Linked DNA regions of Ovis aries. The protein of the gene in region 4 purifies or fractionates together with the protein of the main gene of each other region. This does not show direct contact. Links are inferred from orthologs where the notes say so. Each region holds a gene or a part of one and is shown on either strand. Other genes may lie near its edges. The genes, in order: GHITM, LRP6, CANX, POMK and TMEM59.

Region 1 (3,577 bases), on a different chromosome or scaffold from region 4:
GCACAATAAACAGAATTAAAGAGGCAGGAAACTGGGATGTGTTTGCAGTATACCACTTCAGTGTAGCTGAAGTGTAGGGTATGGGAAGGTAAAAGGCAAAAAATGGACCTGCATCATGAAGGATTTTAAAAGAAAAATACACAATTACGTTAGATATCCTGAAAATGCAGAGATCCATGAAGTAGCTTTTAGTAATTGTTTCTCCCTTGGAAGATGTTGGAGTAGAATCCATTGTGCTATTGGGTATTATGAGTGAAGGCTTTCCCATTCTCAGCAAAAATAGCTGTTCCATTTACCTGTACTTTACCACAGGGTTGACCATTCAGATGTCCTTGGTTCAGGCAGATGAGGCAGATGATTGAGGCAGGCCTGGTATGTTACACGGGATTATTGGCATCTAGAGAAGTGAAGTGAAGTCGCTCAGTTGTGTCCAACTCTTCGTGACCCCATGGACTGTAGCCCACCAGGCTCCTCAGTCCATGGGATTTTCCAGGCATGAATACTGGAGTGGGTTGCCATTTCCTTCTCCAGGGGATCTTCCTGATCGAGGGATCAAACCCAGGTCTCATGCATTGTAGGCAGACGCTTTACCATCTGAACTACCGGGGCATCTAGAGAATGCCTTCCCAACTAAATGAACTCACTTTTGTTTGTTGGTTTGAATAGTTGGCCAAACAAAATGTCTGCTGCCTAATCTTGCCAAAGGGCTGCAAGTATGCAGTTTCTGCCTTAAATTTCCTGAAAAGTATCTTTCTTGCATTACAAACATTTCTTTCTTGTGCACACAGAATATATAAATGTGTAACAGTGGAAATCAAACATAGGCAAAGTAGAGGGATGAGGGCCAGCCAATTCAGCCAAAAAACTGGGAGGATAGAAACGAAGACTCTTATTTCTCGTCTTTTTCTTGTGCTCCTATTTTTCAAGTTTTCATTTAGAGAATAGAGTTTAAGGCAGTGTGCCATATATGTTCTAATTGGTATATCATGAGTAATTGTTTTTAATGTTAGTGTTATGCCAAAATAAATATAGTCTACAATAATTGTTCTGGGATTTTTAAAGTGGTTCTGTTACACCTCTGTCTAACAAGAATAAAATGTTTTAAAGATTAATTTTTACATCTTTATTTATTTGACTGTGGTAGGTCCTTGTTGCTGCCCATGGGCTCTCTAGTTGCGCATGCAGGGCCTCTCATTGCTGTAGCTTCTCTTGCTGTGGAGCACAGGCTCTTGGCGTGTGGGCTCGGTAGCTGTGGCTGCTGGGCTCTAGAGCACAGGCCTGGTTACCTCGCGGCATGTGGGGCACTCGCGGACCAGGGGTCAAACAGGCGTCCCCCAGCATTGCAGGGTGGACCACCAGGGGAGCCCAGAATAAAAACTCATTTACTTACAGTTGTCTGCAAAACTTTGTGTATAACAGTAGGGGGCACTCTTGCTAATTTGATCAAACTGAAGTAAGCACAAGGCCTTTTAATGTGCTAGAAAAAGAAAGGATTCTGTTTATTCTTCTTCATCTTTTTAAGCACAGTCTACTGGAAGGACTAACTGCACTTGGAACTCGTGGGTTCTACTTTGTTGTTGTGTAAGGATCGGCTTTCCTTAGTAATACATGTCTTTCAGACCATTGGTGCAACCTTTGCAGCCATGATTGGAGCTGGAATGCTGGTACAGTCAATATCATATGAGCAGAGTCCAGGCCCAAAGCACCTTGCTTGGTTACTACATTCTGGTATGTTGTTTTAAAATTGCTATTACACGGTCTTAAACTACCTTTTTTGATGGCTCTTCACAGTCGTAAATGACACGCACAATTTAATTAAGCCTCTGGTCTACTAAACACTGAGAGTTTCCTGCACTTATTCCTGGTTGTATTACTGCTCCATTCTGGCAAGTTAATGTTTCTGGTACTAAGACCATGGACAGCCCCAGTGTTACACTCTTCTCTGGTAATAGTCTAGATAGGCAGAGGTTTCTTTTATGTGTTTCGTCTAATACCAGGAGGATTTCAAGTCTGGTGCACATCACTTGAGAATTGTTCTTACTGTATATCTTTCAGAAAATAAAAAACTGAAGGTCTCCACCAGGGACAGAAGAAGTAAAAATAAGAGAGAGGTTTTTGCAGTAGAGTATAGGGAAGAAAAGAATCGAAAAGATGTTTGGAAATGCACTTCTAATTAGCTCTACTTCTGTACAGCTAATGTGACACCATTAGCTGGATCGACATTTAGATAGATCTTGACACGAAGTTACTGTAGGCAAGGCAGAGGCTGTCCAACCCTGGTATTCTGGAACAGTTTTAATATTCTTTGAGGTGTTTGTAATAGTCTCCTTCATTATGGAACGACACATGCTTTTCTACATAAAGTATTTTCTATGGCAGGTATCTGCCTCTGGGTTGAGTAAAGAGCCAGCCAGGTGCAGAACCAAAATGCTTCTTAGATGCATGTTCCCTGCCACAAAATAAGACAAATTCTATAAGCATTTCCATGAAACTTCCAGGGAGAGAGACCGAAATGTTTTCCACATGGGTTGGTACATGGAAATTAGGCTTTGGGCACCCAATATGATGAATCTCCAGTGTGAAATACAGCATTTACATTCATGTGCTGTCTTTGGGGGAATATGAGACAGCATGCCTTCCCAACCTTGGCTTTCAAGTCTCTCTCCCATTAGGTCTTAGGTAATTCAGCCATAGGTATTTTCCATGGAGCTTTACAGGATGGAACTTTAGTGGATGGGAGGGCAGTAATCCCAGTATTTTCCTTTAATACCAGTATCCTGCTTTTAAGAAGAAAATTATTTATAACATAGTATGCATTTGCTGCTTTTTAAAAAAAAGTTATTTTAAGCCTTTTCTTTATCTCATTTCTTCCAAATGTGAATGTTATTATAAAGACTTGGTAGACTCAGATCCAAATAATGAGCTACATTGAATTTGACAGAGTTACTAAAATTCTAGACTAGTGTTTATACTTGTGAGTATTGATTATTTGGCTAGAAATGGCGTTACTGTTGTGATTTAGAATTTGGATAGGTATAAGTTTTAGCTTAGGAGTTTTGTGGCTACTGTTAATAAAATAAGGAGAAAACTTTGTAGTCCTATTGTTTAATATGTTCAAAAGGCAGGTTAGTTAGAAGCATTTTGCTTTTGGTGGTTATGTAGTAAACGCTTAAGTGCCCACTTGCTCTTTCTCCAGGTGTGATGGGTGCTGTGGTGGCCCCTCTGACGATATTAGGGGGCCCTCTTCTCGTCAGAGCTGCGTGGTACACGGCTGGCATTGTGGGGGGTCTCTCCACCGTGGCCATGTGTGCGCCCAGTGAGAAGTTTCTGAACATGGGGGCGCCCCTGGGTGTGGGCCTCGGTGTCGTCTTTGTGTCCTCTCTAGGTAAGCCACTATGCTTTGACACTTGGTTCTTGGTGTCCTGAAATCATCTCACATACCCTGGTATTCTAATGGAGAGAATGTAGTCAGTGTCATTTTTAAAGTTGATTAAAAGGTATATGCCAGTTTGACTGGCTTTACTCCTTTGGCATAATGGCAGACCATTATTACTGGTTTAACCAAATACACCTAAAA
Region 2 (3,577 bases), on a different chromosome or scaffold from region 4:
ATGGAATATAAATGGATATGGGTGGACTGACAAAGTCATTCTAATATATGAGCAGAAGTTATTTTAATACAATACAATCTTCATTTCAATAGCACTAGCAAACAACTGTTTACTCAAAGATCATTTAGGAGAGAAAAAGTGCTGCCAGGTTCAGAATTCCAGCTTTATACACACACACAAGCAGAGTCATTGCATAAGTAGACTAGGATGGCCAGCTGGTCCAATAACTACACAGAAGAACCAGATTTTGAACTGAGCCCTGGATTACCTGGCTGCCATCTTCTTGTGCTTTTCGGATCATGTTTTGTCTTGAGTCAATCCAATAGAGTTGCTTGTCCAGGGGGTCATAGTCAATGGCCCGGACATTCCGAAGGCTGTGGATAGGAAGGATGATGTCAGGGCTCTGCTGTTCATCAATCACCATGCGGTTGATGGCGCTCTTCTGACTGAAGAGCAGGAAAGTAGTTGGAGCTTAAAGAGAGAAGGAAGCAAATATGAAACAGTTATCCTAAGTCTCAGATCACTCAAAGATTTGATTGGTCTGTTGTCTGTATCTCACAAAAACAGACATGTATGTTGAAGACCTGTATGAGACAAAGCCCTTTGGAATGCCTTCAGAACTCTTAGAGGAAACACTGATCACACTCTGGATACTAAACCAGTTATGAATTTTACGCTATAACACAGCCAACTAGCCAATTTTTCTCTGTCCAATGTCCACAGTGGCATCATCACAGGACACCTGATTTCAATGAAGCATTTGACAAACAAAATTCCCCTGTCTACCAAGTAAATAATCCTAACTCCTCCCTCATCTATTCTTGTGGGTGAAAGAAGTCTGGGTCTCCACAGGTCAAAAAAGAGACTTCAATAGTGGTTTTAGTTTCAGTTCTCACATAATTTAGTCACTTGATCTTAACTACAGCCTTCAACCTCGTGGGGTCGAAATTTACTCAACTAGGTTATGGTTATGCTGTCCTGCTCACTGAGTTGCTGTAAGAATTTTATAACACGAGTAAAAATAAAAAGGTAAGGTATCATGTCAATTGTACAATGTTGTTGTTCTTTAGTCACAAAGTCATGTCTCTTTTACAACCTCAAGGACTGTAGCCCACCAGGCTCCTCTCCATGGGATTCTCCAGGCAAGAATACTGGAGTGGGTTGCAATTTCCTTCTCCAGAGGATCTTCCTCACCCAGGGACTGGACCCACATCTCCAGCACTGGCAGTAGGATTCTTTACTACTGAGCCACCAGGGAAGCCCCAATTGTACAATACCTGAACAAAAAACCTATAAGACATTATATAAATGTCAAGTAAAAATAGCTATTGCTTATCATCAGTAGTGGCAATAATAAATGTGGTGTTAGTACGAATGAAACAAACCCTCATGGGTTGTAGATATATAGGCTTTGTTTTACACTGTGGGGATGTAATGGTTGCAAGGAGAGGGAACCATTAAAAAAAAAAAAAAATTCACACACTAGTTGATGCCTGAAGTCTATGAAACAGGGAAATGCAGCCGAGACAACACTTCCCTGTCCCAGGGACTAGGCCTCTGATTACTATGCAGTCATCTTTAAGGAGGAGAGTATCTAGAAAAGAACACCATCTGACAACGCTACCAAAAACTTCAAAGTCTAACAGTCTTTTTTAAAATCTTCTTTAAAACAAATGTAAAAATTCCCAAATTATACACTCTACTCTTGTTGGTCAGTCATCACCTAAATCCAGCAGAATTTTGTCCTTATCAGGGATATAAACACAAATGGCCAAAACAGAACTCCTTGCTTTATCTCCTCCTAAACCCCATTCTTCACAGTGTTAAACCTACACCCATATGTACATCAGTTTAAATCTTGAAGAAATCACTGCTTCTCACAAAGAAACTTGGTATTCACAACCCCGAAATTCTGCTTTAAGTTACCCACTGGCTCAAAGTCCACACCTAGCTTGGAAGATTTAAAAAATATTTCAGTGACTCCACTGCACTCTCCATTGTGTAGAGTCCAGAGCATACTGATTTAACAACTTTCAGCAATTTTAGTAGAACCAACACCTTAATTAGTAAGAATACATGTCACAACAGAGTAGTTAACAAGTCTCCCATTAAAAAAAAAAAAAAAAAAAGAATTATTTTTTGGCAGTACTACTTCCTTATAAATCAAGAAAATAGGGGAAAAAAAAAAAAAAAAGGTCCTGATAGTAAGCTTCCAACAAAATAGCATATTAAGACATACAATGAAACTCAGAAGAAAGACCCCATAGTTTTAGCTGCCTAATTTTCCTGCCTGGGAAATAATTAATCAAATATATATTGGGCTCCTAGTTATGTTTCACTTTGTATTGTTTTTTTCTTTCTTTGAGTCAAATTTTAACCTTTAGTAAAACATTTAGTAAGCTTTCACGATTAAGTGTTCTAGAAACATAGATGATGACAAAGCCAAATATGGCTCCAAACAAATACTCATTTCAAAAAGTCTATGGATGACATTAATTACAGTTGGCTAAATAGTTCCAGGAGGAAGCTGATATTTTGACTTATTTACAAAAGGGACAAAGAATATGCAGTTCTGTAAGCCTAAACCCATGCTAATTTATGTCACCTCTAACCACCACCCCCTCGTCTCTTGCAGAAGGCTTCAAAACGGTCCTGTCGGGCTGTCTCAGTGTTGCACTCCCACATGCAGAAGCTGGAGGAGAAGGTGTAAGCAGGCAGGAGCTTTTCAGCTCTCCTCTGAAGACACAAGTGTTCGCCTAAAGCTTAAAGAAAGGTACCACTCTGGTATAAGAACATTGTAAGTGACCAGCCCAAGCCCACCACGATGGATTGTGCTATCTCTGAGCTGTGCCAAAGGCCTCAAGCGGACTTAAGTCCAGGCTGCACCTGGGTAGCCAAGTCAAGCACCTGTGCAGCTGCATGTGCCCAGAGGAAACACCTTTTCTCAATGTGCACAAAGATGCCACAAAGGCCAACTGCTTCAGTACTGAACACAGGATTACACAATGTGGCCTCCTGCTTCCTCTCTGACTTAATCCCTTTACACTCTGTTCCAGAGACACTGGCCCCCAGGTGTTTCTCCAACATGCCAGACATGTTCCCCTCTGCTTGACAGGTCTTCTCCCAGGGAGCCAGCAAAGCTCATTTCCTCACCTCCCTCAGTACCTGACATAGTGTCACTTTTATGCCAGGACTTCTCTCGTGATCCTATTTAACATCAAGATCCTCCTACGCACCCTTTCCTGCTCATAATTTTCTCCATAACACTCATCTCCATCTACCTCATGATACAGTTTACTTATTTAGTTCATTATCTATCCTGATGGAACGTAACCTCCACAAGGGCAGGGATTAATGTCTGTTTCATTCAGCAATACATTCTTCATTGGCTCAAATAATGCCCAGTGTGGATTAGCTGTTCAGTAAATATTCACTGAAAGAATACACGAGTAAACAAATGAAGAAAAAGCATGAGATGACATCATTAAGGAGAGCCCTGTAGCCATGATTTTGAAAGAAAACAAAATTTTTTCCAAGAACTGGGGGAAAAAAAGAAACAAGCATTCATTTAGAACCT
Region 3 (3,577 bases), on a different chromosome or scaffold from region 4:
AACATAAAAATGAATTAAGAATTAAAATATTCTCAGTAGGATCTATTCTCTTGGTTTGCTTTCACACTTGCATGACTGGCCCTCAAATTCAACCCATATAATTTATCTTTGGGACAATATAACAAAGGTTGACAGGGAGAGCAATAAGTATTTTAGCAAATTTTGCTTTCCCTTTGGTAAGGATCCAAAATGTACCTTCATCTTTTGATCATCTCAAGAGGCAAAACAAACAGATTCAAAGATCATGTCAAACCTTTGGCGATGGCGGACTGCTGGCATCTGGCTTCGGTTTCGAGTCTTCTACCTCTTCAATGACGTCATCAAGGTCATCCTCAATGTCAATCACATCATCGTCATGTCCATCATGAGCTTGAACAAGAGCAGTTCCAAGGACCAGTAACATACACAGCAACCACTTCCCTTCCATGATCTAAGTATTTATTAAAAAAAAATACAGTTAATTGTATCACCTCCTTTCAAAAATTTTGAACCCTTATTTAAAATTAAGGCTTTCAAATCAGAGCTGAAAGGAACTTTACTGTATTTCATTTTATAGATAAAGAAAGTGAACTCAGAATAACAGGTTTTCCTAAAATCAGTTAGTTAAAAGATTCAATTTCAAGAAAAAATTCAAACTATAACTCAAACAATTGTCCCCATATAGAATATCATGTTGGCTACACAGACCTAGGGTGTTCAGATATAATTTCAAAATAACTTCTTGCATTTGTAAAGAGCTTTACAATAGACAAAGCCCCTTTTACAGAATAGTTTAAACGAGTTAAAACATTACAATGAAATAACAGAGGAGTTAACTTGCCTCACATTAAAGACTTAATTTAGATTAGATGCTGCTGTTTTTGTCCAAAGATCAAGAAGAATAGGTATGTTTTTTAATTAGTGTTTTAAGGGACTTCCAGGGAACCCTGTGCAAAGCAGGGGACTTGAGTTTGATCCATGGCTGGGGAACTAAGATCCTCCATGCAACAGAGCAACTAAGCCCAGAGCAAACAGGCCACAATTCGAGACTCCATGCTCAACAAGGTCCTGCACTAAAACCAGACCCCGCAGGATGCAAAGATCCCACCTGTCAGCAACTAAGACCCAATAAGCCAAGTAAATAAATAATACATCAGTTTTAAGATTCAACAAAAAAATATATTAAACCATGCTGCTGCTGCTAAGTCACTTCAGTCGTGTCCGACTCTGTGCAACCCCAAAGACGGCAGCCCACCAGGCTCTGCCGTCTCTGGGATTCTCCAGGCAAGAACACTGGAGTGGGGTGCCATTTTCTTCTCCAGTGGATGAAAGTGAAAAATGAAAGAGAAGTCGCTCAGTCATGTCCGACTCTGTGCCACCCCATGGACTGCAGCCCACCAGGCTCCTCCGTCCATGGGAGTTTCCAGGCAAGAGTACTGGAGTGGGGCGCCATTGCCTTCTCCGAAAAACAAAAAAATATATTAAACCATAGACCAACTATTTTTATCTCTTTTTTCTAAGCCTTCAAGTGTCTTACATATCATATCTGACTGTCATGGATGGTAGTCAATCCTCTCTCCAAAACCACAGATCTAAAGATACAAAAACTGAGCCACACGGATGCACAAAATGATTCGGCAGTAGGTTGTACAGAATTTTAATTCTGCAAGATGAAGAGTTCTCGAGACGGATGGAGGTGAAAGCTGTACAACAATATGAACATACTCAATGCCACTGAACTTGATGGTTAAGATGGTAAATCTTACAAGTATTTTCACTGCTATAAAAAAGATTTTATTAAAATAAAATAGCTTAATTTTTTGGTCACTGGTAAATCAACTTATTCTAATGCTGAATTTAACGCCTAATTCCTTATAAATGCTATAATCCTTTAAAGTGATTGATTATATAGAACTAGACTTTCATGTATCATTTGGCGGCATTTCCTTTATTTATAAAGCGTGGGTACTGTTTTCACAAAATGAAAGAAAGTAAGGCTCACTGGACTCCTAGGCAGCACAGAAAATAAAGAAATAAAAGATTTTTATAAAAATAAAAACTCACTCATCATCTTTCCTAGGACTGGTATTAGAGTTTAAAAACTCTCAATGTCAACATTCTGCTATGGCTTCTTATATACCAAGAAATGCCAGTAATTTCAATTTTTCACTGTTAAGGCTTCTATTCTCTACCACCGAAATCTACAATGGCGTAGCAATATCGCTTTGATTTACAACTACACTGGATTCTCTGAAACTAAACAGGCTGATTCAACCCTTTTATCTACATCAACTGTATACAACCTAAGAAGTCCTCACAGAAATAATGCTATAAATGGCAGTTGGGTTCCCAGGGATACTCTATAAATCAAATTAGCCCACAAAATAGTTAAGTCAAAAAGGCAAATGTGATAAGCCCAGTAGCAATTAAGTGAACCACAAAGCCAGTGAATTAATAAGGACTGTGCACTGATGTTAAAACACTGCTGCTCAAGGAAAAGCTAATCGGGGAGATGAACTAACTACTTAACTTTCAAAAATGGGATTCAGGTAGGGTTCAGTGAGGGAGAGTACAGCTGCAGAACAGGAAGACTGATTTTTTTCCCTGTATCTTTTAATTTACTGATATACTGCTGTTATGTTATGGGCTTGCAGATGGCTCAGTGGTAAAGAACTGGTCTGCCAATGAAGGAGACCCACATTTCGGGAAGATCCGCTGGAGAAGGAAATGGTAACCCACTCCAGTATTCTTGCCTGGGAAATCCTATGGAAGGACCTGGCAGGCTACAGTCCATGGGGTTGTAAAAGATTTGGTCACAAGTGAGCAACTGAGCGCACACACACATACAACATATACCGCTGTTACAGGCTTAACTGTGTCTCCTACCTCAAATTTGTATGTTGAAACTTGAACTCCCAACATAACTATATTTAGAGATAGGACCTTTAAGTAATTAAGGTTAAAAGCAGTCATAAGGTTGGGGCCCTAACTGGTGTCTATAGTAAGAGGAAGAGAACCAGGAATCCACATGCACAGAGGTTAAGTCCAACGAGGACACAAGATGGTGGCCCTCCGCAAGCTGAGGAGGAAGGCCACATCAGAAGCCAACTCTGCCAACGCCTCGATCACAGACTTCCAGACTGTAAGAAAACACTTTTCTGTTGTTTAAGCTGCCCGGCCTGTGGTGCTGTTGTGGCAGTCCAAGCAGACTAACACAATGCTCCTTGGGTTGAGTATAATGTCACAAGACAGCTCTTCCTAACTTGAGCGTGCCTCAGGGGGCTTTTTAAAACAGACTGCTGATTGAGTGTGTGCGTGCTGGGCCTTTTCCTTCCTATCAGGTTCCAGGGGATGCAAAGGTTGCTACCCTGAGAACCACTGACTAGGGTTTATGAATCATCAACTTGTGCTTTGTGTTCCAGTTTATAAAAGCACTTTCACAGTTACATTATTTTGCAAACCTCCCTTGAGGTATTACTAAGATGTAGTGAAATGAAAACAACCCAATCATTTACTCAATATCACAACCAATAAGTGAGAGTCAAAGACTTCAGATCTCCTATTTCTATTACACTAGACAAAACGTGGCTGCATCCCG
Region 4 (3,577 bases):
TCCCCCGGGCTGCCCGCCCCCTCGATGGCGAGCGGGACTCACCGTCTTCACGGCTCCCTCCCCGACGCGCTTCAGAGGCCTCACTTCCGTCCTCAGCTGCTCGCAGGACAGCCACGGGGAGCAGGTGGCCGCCTGCCCCATGCTGAAGTGGCCGGGCGGGCAGCGGCCGGGGTGCGCCGTGGGGCTGCGGGGCGCGGTGACGAGCCGGTCGAGGCAGAGGTAGAGGAGGATGTTCATGAGCGCCATGGACAGCAGCAGCCCCACGGCCGGGGGCAGCTCCCTGGGCGCAGGCCCCTTCCTGCCCTCCGGGGGCCTCGTCTCCATGGCACTGCGCTCTGCCAGCCCCTCAGACGGAGACATGAGGCGTGGTCACAGCCCAGGCAGACTCAGGAAGGACGGAGGGGCCCGGGGCCGCCGTGAGCAGCCGCGGGCCGCGTGCCCGATGCCGGCTCCTCCCGGAGCCCCGACTTTTGACTGCAGGGTCGAGCAGAAGGCAGTCTTGGGCCTGTCCGGCCGTGTCTCTGTCTCCCCTACAGCCACCTGCAGTGAGGAAAGGCAAGCACCGCGCAGCTAGCAATGCTAAGAGGAAAGCAAAGCGCGGCTCTGGAGACGGCAAGGGAGAGAGAAGCTGGGCTGGGGGCCGTCCGGGATGCTGAGGGGCTGGGGTGCTCCTTGGGAGGTGCTCAGAAGCCCCCTGATGCTTTTAAGAAGCAAAGGTGTGAAAGGGTGCCCCGGGAGGTTGGTGGGGGAGGCGGCGGTAGGGGAGGTGGTGGTGGGAGAGGCTGGGTGGGGGCCCGGGCCGGAATCCAGGATGAGCGCTGATAAGAAGGCAGGTGGCCTGACAGGGGTGAGGTGGGGGCGCAGGTGACTCTCAGAGGCCCGGGAGCAGGTGCTGGGCCAGTGCGAGGCAGGGACTGCTGCCTGGCCACAGGGGGCTGGGAGGAACCTGGATATCGGGCCCTCCAGGATCCTGGGGTGGACGCTGGTTGCCACCCACCGGGAGCGGCCAGAGCAGAGGGCACGGACTTAGCCGCAGCACCAGGCACATGAGACACAGTGCCTGACGGACCCTGGGTCTCGGGGCCCAGGACACGGCGACACAAAGCCTTACCTGCCGGGAGGGCCTTCCTTCTTGCTCAGGTTTCTGGCCAGACTCCTGGATCGGTCAAGGCTCCAGCTGGCTCCACGCGCTGGTTTCAAAGCACTCTTCCTCTAAGTACCAAACAGGAGGTCTGTTGAATAAGACTTGTGACTCTGCACACAGACAAACGGCCACAGTCCAAGCAGCTCCCTTTCCCAGGCCCTCCCAGCTAGGGGGGTCTCCCAGGCTCCCGATCTCCGGGTCGGTGCAGGGGGGCCGGGAGCCCAGGCCTCCCCGCCAGCCCCTCTTTGCCCCCGGCCACCCCCATGACCCCCATCACTCCCTCCTGGAACCCACTCCTCCAACACGTCTTAGGCAGCCTGTACGTGCCCTGCTGTGGGCACTGCCAAGCGCCAGGCCATCCTCTTTGAACGACGCCTGCCTTCTCACTGCAAACTGTTCTCTGCAAGCACAAACAGAAAGTCTGCAGCCCCAGGACCTGGCGGGGAGCTCGACGCCTCCGCTCTCGTCTGGAGCAGCTAAGTCGCTCTGCCTGGAGAAGCCACTTCTGTCTCTGACCCAGAGTTGAGCACAGGGAATACAGCCATTATTTTGTAGTAACTTTTAAGTGGAACATAAGCTTTAAAAATACTGAGTCACCATGTTGTATGCTTGAAACTAACGAAATAGTGTAAATCACCTATAATTCAATTAAAAACTTAGGCTGAGATGTAATTCACACACTGTAAATTTGAGGTCATCACCTCACACCTGTCAGAATGGCCATCAGCAAGAGAGACAAGAGATAACAAACGCTGGTGAGGAGGTGAAGAAAAGGGAGCACTCTGACTCTGTTGGTGGGAACGTTCATTGGTGCAGCTGCCACGGAAAGCCAGGTGAAAGTGCCTCAAAACACTAAAATTAGAACCATCACATGATCCAGCAATCTCACTCCTGGGTGCATATCCAAAAAAAACCCCAAAAAACCCCTACTAATTTGAAAAGATACATGCACCCCTATGTCCATAGCATCATTATTCACAAGAGTCAAGACATGGAAGGAACAGTGTCTGTCAACAGAGAATGAATGAAGATGCTGTATGTATTTTTATGTGTGTGTGTGTGTGTATATATATATATATGTATATATATATATATAAAATCTTAACACGAAAAGATAAAAAAAATACTTCCCAAACTCAACCCTCCCCCCTCAAATCCGCTCTTTTCAGTGCTCGCGATCTCAGAGGTGCCAGCTGTAATCTCCCAGTGACCACGCTGCAGGGGTCAGCAGTGACAGCGCTTCTGCTGAGCAGGGACTGTCAGAGGGGAGGGACTCGTCTCAGCCACACCACCCTGGACACGCCAGACCGCATCTCCCCTCCGAAGCTAAGCGGGGTCAGGCCGGGTTAGTAGGTGGATGGGAGAAGGGAGGACTCTTCCACGGGTCAGTGTACTTTGCCCTTATCGGAAGAGAACGCAGGGCTTTTATCATCTCTGCCGTCACCGCGAGGAGCTCAGGGACCCCCTCCTCTCTGGGACCAGGTGGGGTGCTCACCCATGGCCCAAGTCCTGCCAGCAGCACCCAGTGACGGCCCGGGCGCTATCTGCTCGCCGTCCTCGAGATCCCGGGCCCGCATCTTTCTCTCCGGCGCCCTCCCTCCAGACGTCTCCCAGGACTCTGGTGGACGCAGCAACAACATTAACCACTCCGGCCTCACAGTCTCCAGAGTGTCTTCCCCCAGTGCCTGATTCTTAGAAGCTGACCTGCAAGAAACAGGCAAAACTCCTGCCGTCTCTCCTCTGTGGCATTTAAAGTGACCAAGAGTGTCTCGACTTAGACCTGAGGTCAGAAGAACTTTTTCCCATAAAGTGCCAGACAGTAAAAGTTCAGCTTTAGGGGCCAGAGCGGTAATCGAGGGGCCACACACTGGGACGTGCGGGGCGTGCAGCGGCCGTGCAGTGTGACCGGGGGACGGTCACGTCCCTCCATCCGGCCGCCAGAAGCAGCCAGGCCCTCCTGCACCAGTGGGGCGAGCATGGCTCTGCTCCAGCAAAACTCTGCTCACAGACACTGGGATTCGAGCCTCACGTCACAAAAGACTGTTCCTTTGTTTCTTTCCCCCAGTATTTAAAAACGTGAAAGGGATCCTTAGCTCACGGGCCACCCGAGAATGGGAGGCGGGAGGAGCGGCTGGCCGGCCCGCCTCAGGGGATGGCATCCCTCGGGTGATGTCACGGGCTCCTCTTCCATTCCACGCCTTCCACGTGGTCTCATCCACGCACACGGCTCAGGCGGCCGCGTACACGCCAATGGTTTCCAGCCTCTGCTGTGACCTGGCTCTTTCTCCTAAAGCATCACTTAGCCGGGGACCCCTCAAGGTCTGGGATGTCCACACCTGAATTCCCTCTCCTGTCGCCAGCATGCCTGCCACGCAGGGGTCCCCACTGTGAGGGGGACTCAACCGGGGAACTTGATGTCTCCATCCCCTAAGC
Region 5 (3,577 bases), on a different chromosome or scaffold from region 4:
AGCATGTACAGAAGCATATTCCCAATCTGATGAACAATATGCTTGCCATCTTGGTTGCCAGAATCAGCTGCCATACGCAGAATTGAGACAAGAACAAGTATGAAACAATACCGCCCTTCAGAAATGCCTGCTTAGATTGCACTTTGTATTGAAATGTATATTGTTCACATGATCCTATTTCAGTATTATATTTTATAATTAGTTTCAGCAAACAAATTATTTTTGCAAATAGAAAAGTCAGTTACTTTTGTATAAGGCTTTAATGTTAAGAGGTATGTTCACACCCATAATCTCATTTTGTTTTTTTTTTCTTGGTCTGGTGACAGTATTATCCCCATTTTGCATATGAAAAAACTGAGGCTCAGAGAAGTGGAGAGTTCCTTTTACCTTATCTGCCATTACCTTAGATCAGCATCATTTCTCATCTGTATTACTAAATGAGCTTCCAGTCTGTTTTCCCACTTTAGCCCCTTCTAGTCTATTGTCTAGTCTGTGTCTGGATATTTATTTCTAAATGGAAATCTCATGTCATGATTCTATCTTATATTCTTCAGTAGCTTCCCATTATATACAGGTTTAAGTCCAAACCATTTATCACAGCCTGGCTTCTGATTACCTCTTCTATATCATCTCTTAGAATTTCTACCCCTCTTACTCTATCCAAGCGTTTGGGGGAAAGTTTTTGAATTAACTTTGACATAGGAAATACAACCGCATGGTACAGAATTCAAAAGGTGAAAAAAAAAAAATATACACACACACACACACACACACACACACACACAGTTGACCCTTGAAAAACATGGATTTTAACTGCGGGACCATTTACACTTGAATTTTTTTTTTCTTAATATTATACTGTACTACGTGATCTATAGTTGGTTGAATTCTCAGATGCAGAATCACAAACGTGGGAGACCAACTATAATCTGTGTATATTCACAGATTTCAGCACCCCTAATCCCTGCCATTGTTCAAAGATCAGTTCTTTAGTGAAAAGTTTCCTACCCCTGTATCTCTTAGCCACTCCATTTTCCTCCATTAATGTAGCCAGGGTTACCAGTGCAGAGGCATTTTATACAAGGATACATGTATTCTTTTCTAAAATATAATTAAAGACTGTCTACTCATTTCTTTCCAGAACATACATAATTTCATTATATGGATGTATCATTTATTTAAGTAGTCCCTTGCTTATGGACATGTAGGGTTGTTTCTGGGTTTGGTGGGCTGCCATCTATGGGGTCGCACAGAGTCGGACATGACTGAAGTGACTTAGCAGCAGCAGCAGCAAGGTTGTTTCTAATTTTTTAGATTTACATATAATGTTGCCTATTTTTTACATTTATATTTCTAGAATAAAATCATAGGAATACAATTGCTGAGTTAAGTATATGCATTTTTAATTTTGGGAAATAGAGCAAAATTGCCTTGTATGGAATTTCTATCACGTCTTAAAATTGACATATAATTCATACTATAAAAATCATTCTTCTGAAGTATTCAGTGTAGTAGTTTTTAGTCTATTCCAGACTGTGCAACCATCATTACTATCTACTTCCACAACGTTTTCATTATCGAAAAAAGAAATCTTATACCCGTTAGCAGTCACTGTCTTTTCCTCCTCCTCCCAGTCCTTGGCAATGTAGTACTTTTATTACAGTTTTAATTTGTGTTTCTCTTACGAGTAACTTTAAACATATTTTCTAATTTTTAAGACCCTTTTTTATTTCCCTTTAATTATGTACATACTAAGAAGTTCTTAATGTTTGTAATATGTTAATGGTGACATTATTTCTTGTTTCTTCTATTCTCTGCCTAGTGAATCCTTTTGACTCAGGGCAAGTATCATGTCCTCTGTGAAGCCTTCTTAGCCACCTCTCACCCCAGTTTGGGTTAGATGCCTCTCCCCACAGACATGTATCACACCGTGTTTCACCTCTGTCCTGCGTAGATTAAGCACAGACACATGTGGATGAATAAAAGATGAATAAAACACACATGGTTTCTGACTCTTAAAACGTATAATCTCAATGAATGCTTACTTAGTGAACTAATCAATGAATGATTTCACAGCTTTTAAGTGGAAAAATTAGATCACGAGTACAGATCTCTTCTGATTCTAAAAGCTCTTCTCCCTTAATAACCCCATAGTGTCTTTCTTTTGAAATACAGCCAGAACCAAAGCTATCTCTAGAGTTCAGTGAATGGTATCTCATACTTATTCTCTAGAGGGGCCCACTGCTGTTGAATTAGTCAATAGTCAGAATTAAAGGGGAGGCGATACCAATTAATGTAAAAATCTCATCAGTAGCTTACTGTATGTAGTCAGCCCATAAATATTTCCCTCCCTCTGCCCTGTTATCAGATATCTCACATTTTATGCATATATTCCTTGGATTGATTTTTTTTCCTTCCTTTTTTCCATTGGTGTGTGTTATGGGATGGTTCATTTTACATGAAAGTATTAAAGATTTGTCCCTTCCTCTTCTGCCTCTTGAGGCCTTGCTAATCCTTATTTAATCAAAAGAGAAGAGTTTAGATTTTCTACATTTTTGGACCTAACTCAAAAGCCTGTTAATTTGATAGAGGTGACAGGTAGCTTATATTGTATTAGGTGATACGTTAAAGGATCCTAGGAATTTAAGCTCATGGTTAATTGCATAGATAATGAAGAGTTTACTCTGATGCTAATGACGATAATAGAATCACTTGTTTTATACTCTGTCCAAATAAGGATTTGATTATATTGTTCTTTTGTATATGTGTATATAAAAAATAATATATTTCACCTTGATTTAATTTTCTTTTTTTAAGCTCATGTCCCTGATGCCAAAAATGCATCTACTCTTCCCTCTAACTCTGGTAAGATCATTCTGGAGTGATATGGTGGACTCTGCACAGAGCTTCATAACCTCTTCATGGACTTTTTATCTTCAAGCTGATGATGGAAAAATCGTTATATTCCAGGTAATAATGTGCTTCATAGAGTCATTTAAATACTAGCAGTAGTAATGGAGAAGGCAATGGCACCCCACTCCAGTACTCTTGCCTGGAAAATCCCATGGACGGAAGAGCCTGGTAGGCTGCAGTTGATGGGGTTGCTCAGAGTCGGACACGACTGAGCGACTTCACTTTGACTTTTCACTTTCATGCATTGGAGAAGGAAATGGCAACCCTCTCCAGTGTTCTTGCCTGGAGGGTCCCAGGGATGGGGGAGCCTGGTGGGCTGCTGTATCAGGGGTCGCACAGAGTCGGACATGACTGAAGTGATTTAGCAGCAGCAGCAGCAGCTGCCCATTGGAAATCTATTTAAAGCCTATTGATCTGTATCTAACAAGATCTCTGAGTCTTCTAAATTTTAGAGTGGTTTATTGATAAAATGAAGCCTATAGATATAAGAGCGGAGAAGGCAATGGCACCCCACTCTAGTGCTCTTGCCTGGAAAAAAGGAGCCTGGTAGGCTGCGGTCCATGGGGTCGTGAAAAGTTGGACACGACTAAGTGACTTCACTTTCACTTTTCACTTTCATGCATTGGAGAAGTAAATGGCAACCCACTCTAGTGTTCTTACCTGG

What was found.
Region 1: the proteins of POMK (region 4) and GHITM purify together in Homo sapiens (affinity purification with mass spectrometry; 3 studies listed by BioGRID and IntAct, counting the BioPlex papers as one, with this or other methods). This does not show direct contact. The link is inferred for Ovis aries from reciprocal best matches to the Homo sapiens genes POMK and GHITM.
Region 2: the proteins of POMK (region 4) and LRP6 purify together in Homo sapiens (affinity purification with mass spectrometry; 3 studies listed by BioGRID and IntAct, counting the BioPlex papers as one, with this or other methods). This does not show direct contact. The link is inferred for Ovis aries from reciprocal best matches to the Homo sapiens genes POMK and LRP6.
Region 3: the proteins of POMK (region 4) and CANX purify together in Homo sapiens (affinity purification with mass spectrometry; 3 studies listed by BioGRID and IntAct, counting the BioPlex papers as one, with this or other methods). This does not show direct contact. The link is inferred for Ovis aries from reciprocal best matches to the Homo sapiens genes POMK and CANX.
Region 5: the proteins of POMK (region 4) and TMEM59 purify together in Homo sapiens (affinity purification with mass spectrometry; 3 studies listed by BioGRID and IntAct, with this or other methods). This does not show direct contact. The link is inferred for Ovis aries from reciprocal best matches to the Homo sapiens genes POMK and TMEM59.

Annotation. Positions count from the first base shown.
Region 1 is NC_056078.1:38,167,659-38,171,235, forward strand, and holds part of GHITM (growth hormone-inducible transmembrane protein), read left to right. Parts: intron 1-1,619; coding exon 1,620-1,728; intron 1,729-3,196; coding exon 3,197-3,385; intron 3,386-3,577. UniProt on the Homo sapiens protein: Plays an important role in maintenance of mitochondrial morphology and in mediating either calcium or potassium/proton antiport. Mediates proton-dependent calcium efflux from mitochondrion.
Region 2 is NC_056056.1:203,329,458-203,333,034, reverse strand, and holds part of LRP6 (low-density lipoprotein receptor-related protein 6), read right to left. Parts: intron 472-3,577; coding exon 269-471; intron 1-268. UniProt on the Homo sapiens protein: Component of the Wnt-Fzd-LRP5-LRP6 complex that triggers beta-catenin signaling through inducing aggregation of receptor-ligand complexes into ribosome-sized signalosomes.
Region 3 is NC_056058.1:1,394,363-1,397,939, forward strand, and holds part of CANX (calnexin), read right to left. Parts: intron 431-3,577; 5' UTR 428-430; coding exon 254-427; intron 1-253. UniProt on the Homo sapiens protein: Calcium-binding protein that interacts with newly synthesized monoglucosylated glycoproteins in the endoplasmic reticulum. It may act in assisting protein assembly and/or in the retention within the ER of unassembled protein subunits.
Region 4 is NC_056079.1:37,076,944-37,080,520, reverse strand, and holds part of POMK (protein O-mannose kinase), read right to left. Parts: intron 2,849-3,577; exon of another isoform or gene 2,640-2,848; intron 1,255-2,639; exon of another isoform or gene 1,213-1,254; 5' UTR 1,112-1,212; intron 541-1,111; 5' UTR 361-540; coding exon 43-360; intron 1-42. UniProt on the Homo sapiens protein: Protein O-mannose kinase that specifically mediates phosphorylation at the 6-position of an O-mannose of the trisaccharide (N-acetylgalactosamine (GalNAc)-beta-1,3-N-acetylglucosamine (GlcNAc)-beta-1,4-mannose) to generate phosphorylated O-mannosyl trisaccharide (N-acetylgalactosamine-beta-1,3-N-acetylglucosamine-beta-1,4-(phosphate-6-)mannose).
Region 5 is NC_056054.1:28,569,579-28,573,155, reverse strand, and holds part of TMEM59 (transmembrane protein 59), read left to right. Parts: intron 1-2; coding exon 3-97; intron 98-2,817; coding exon 2,818-2,970; intron 2,971-3,577.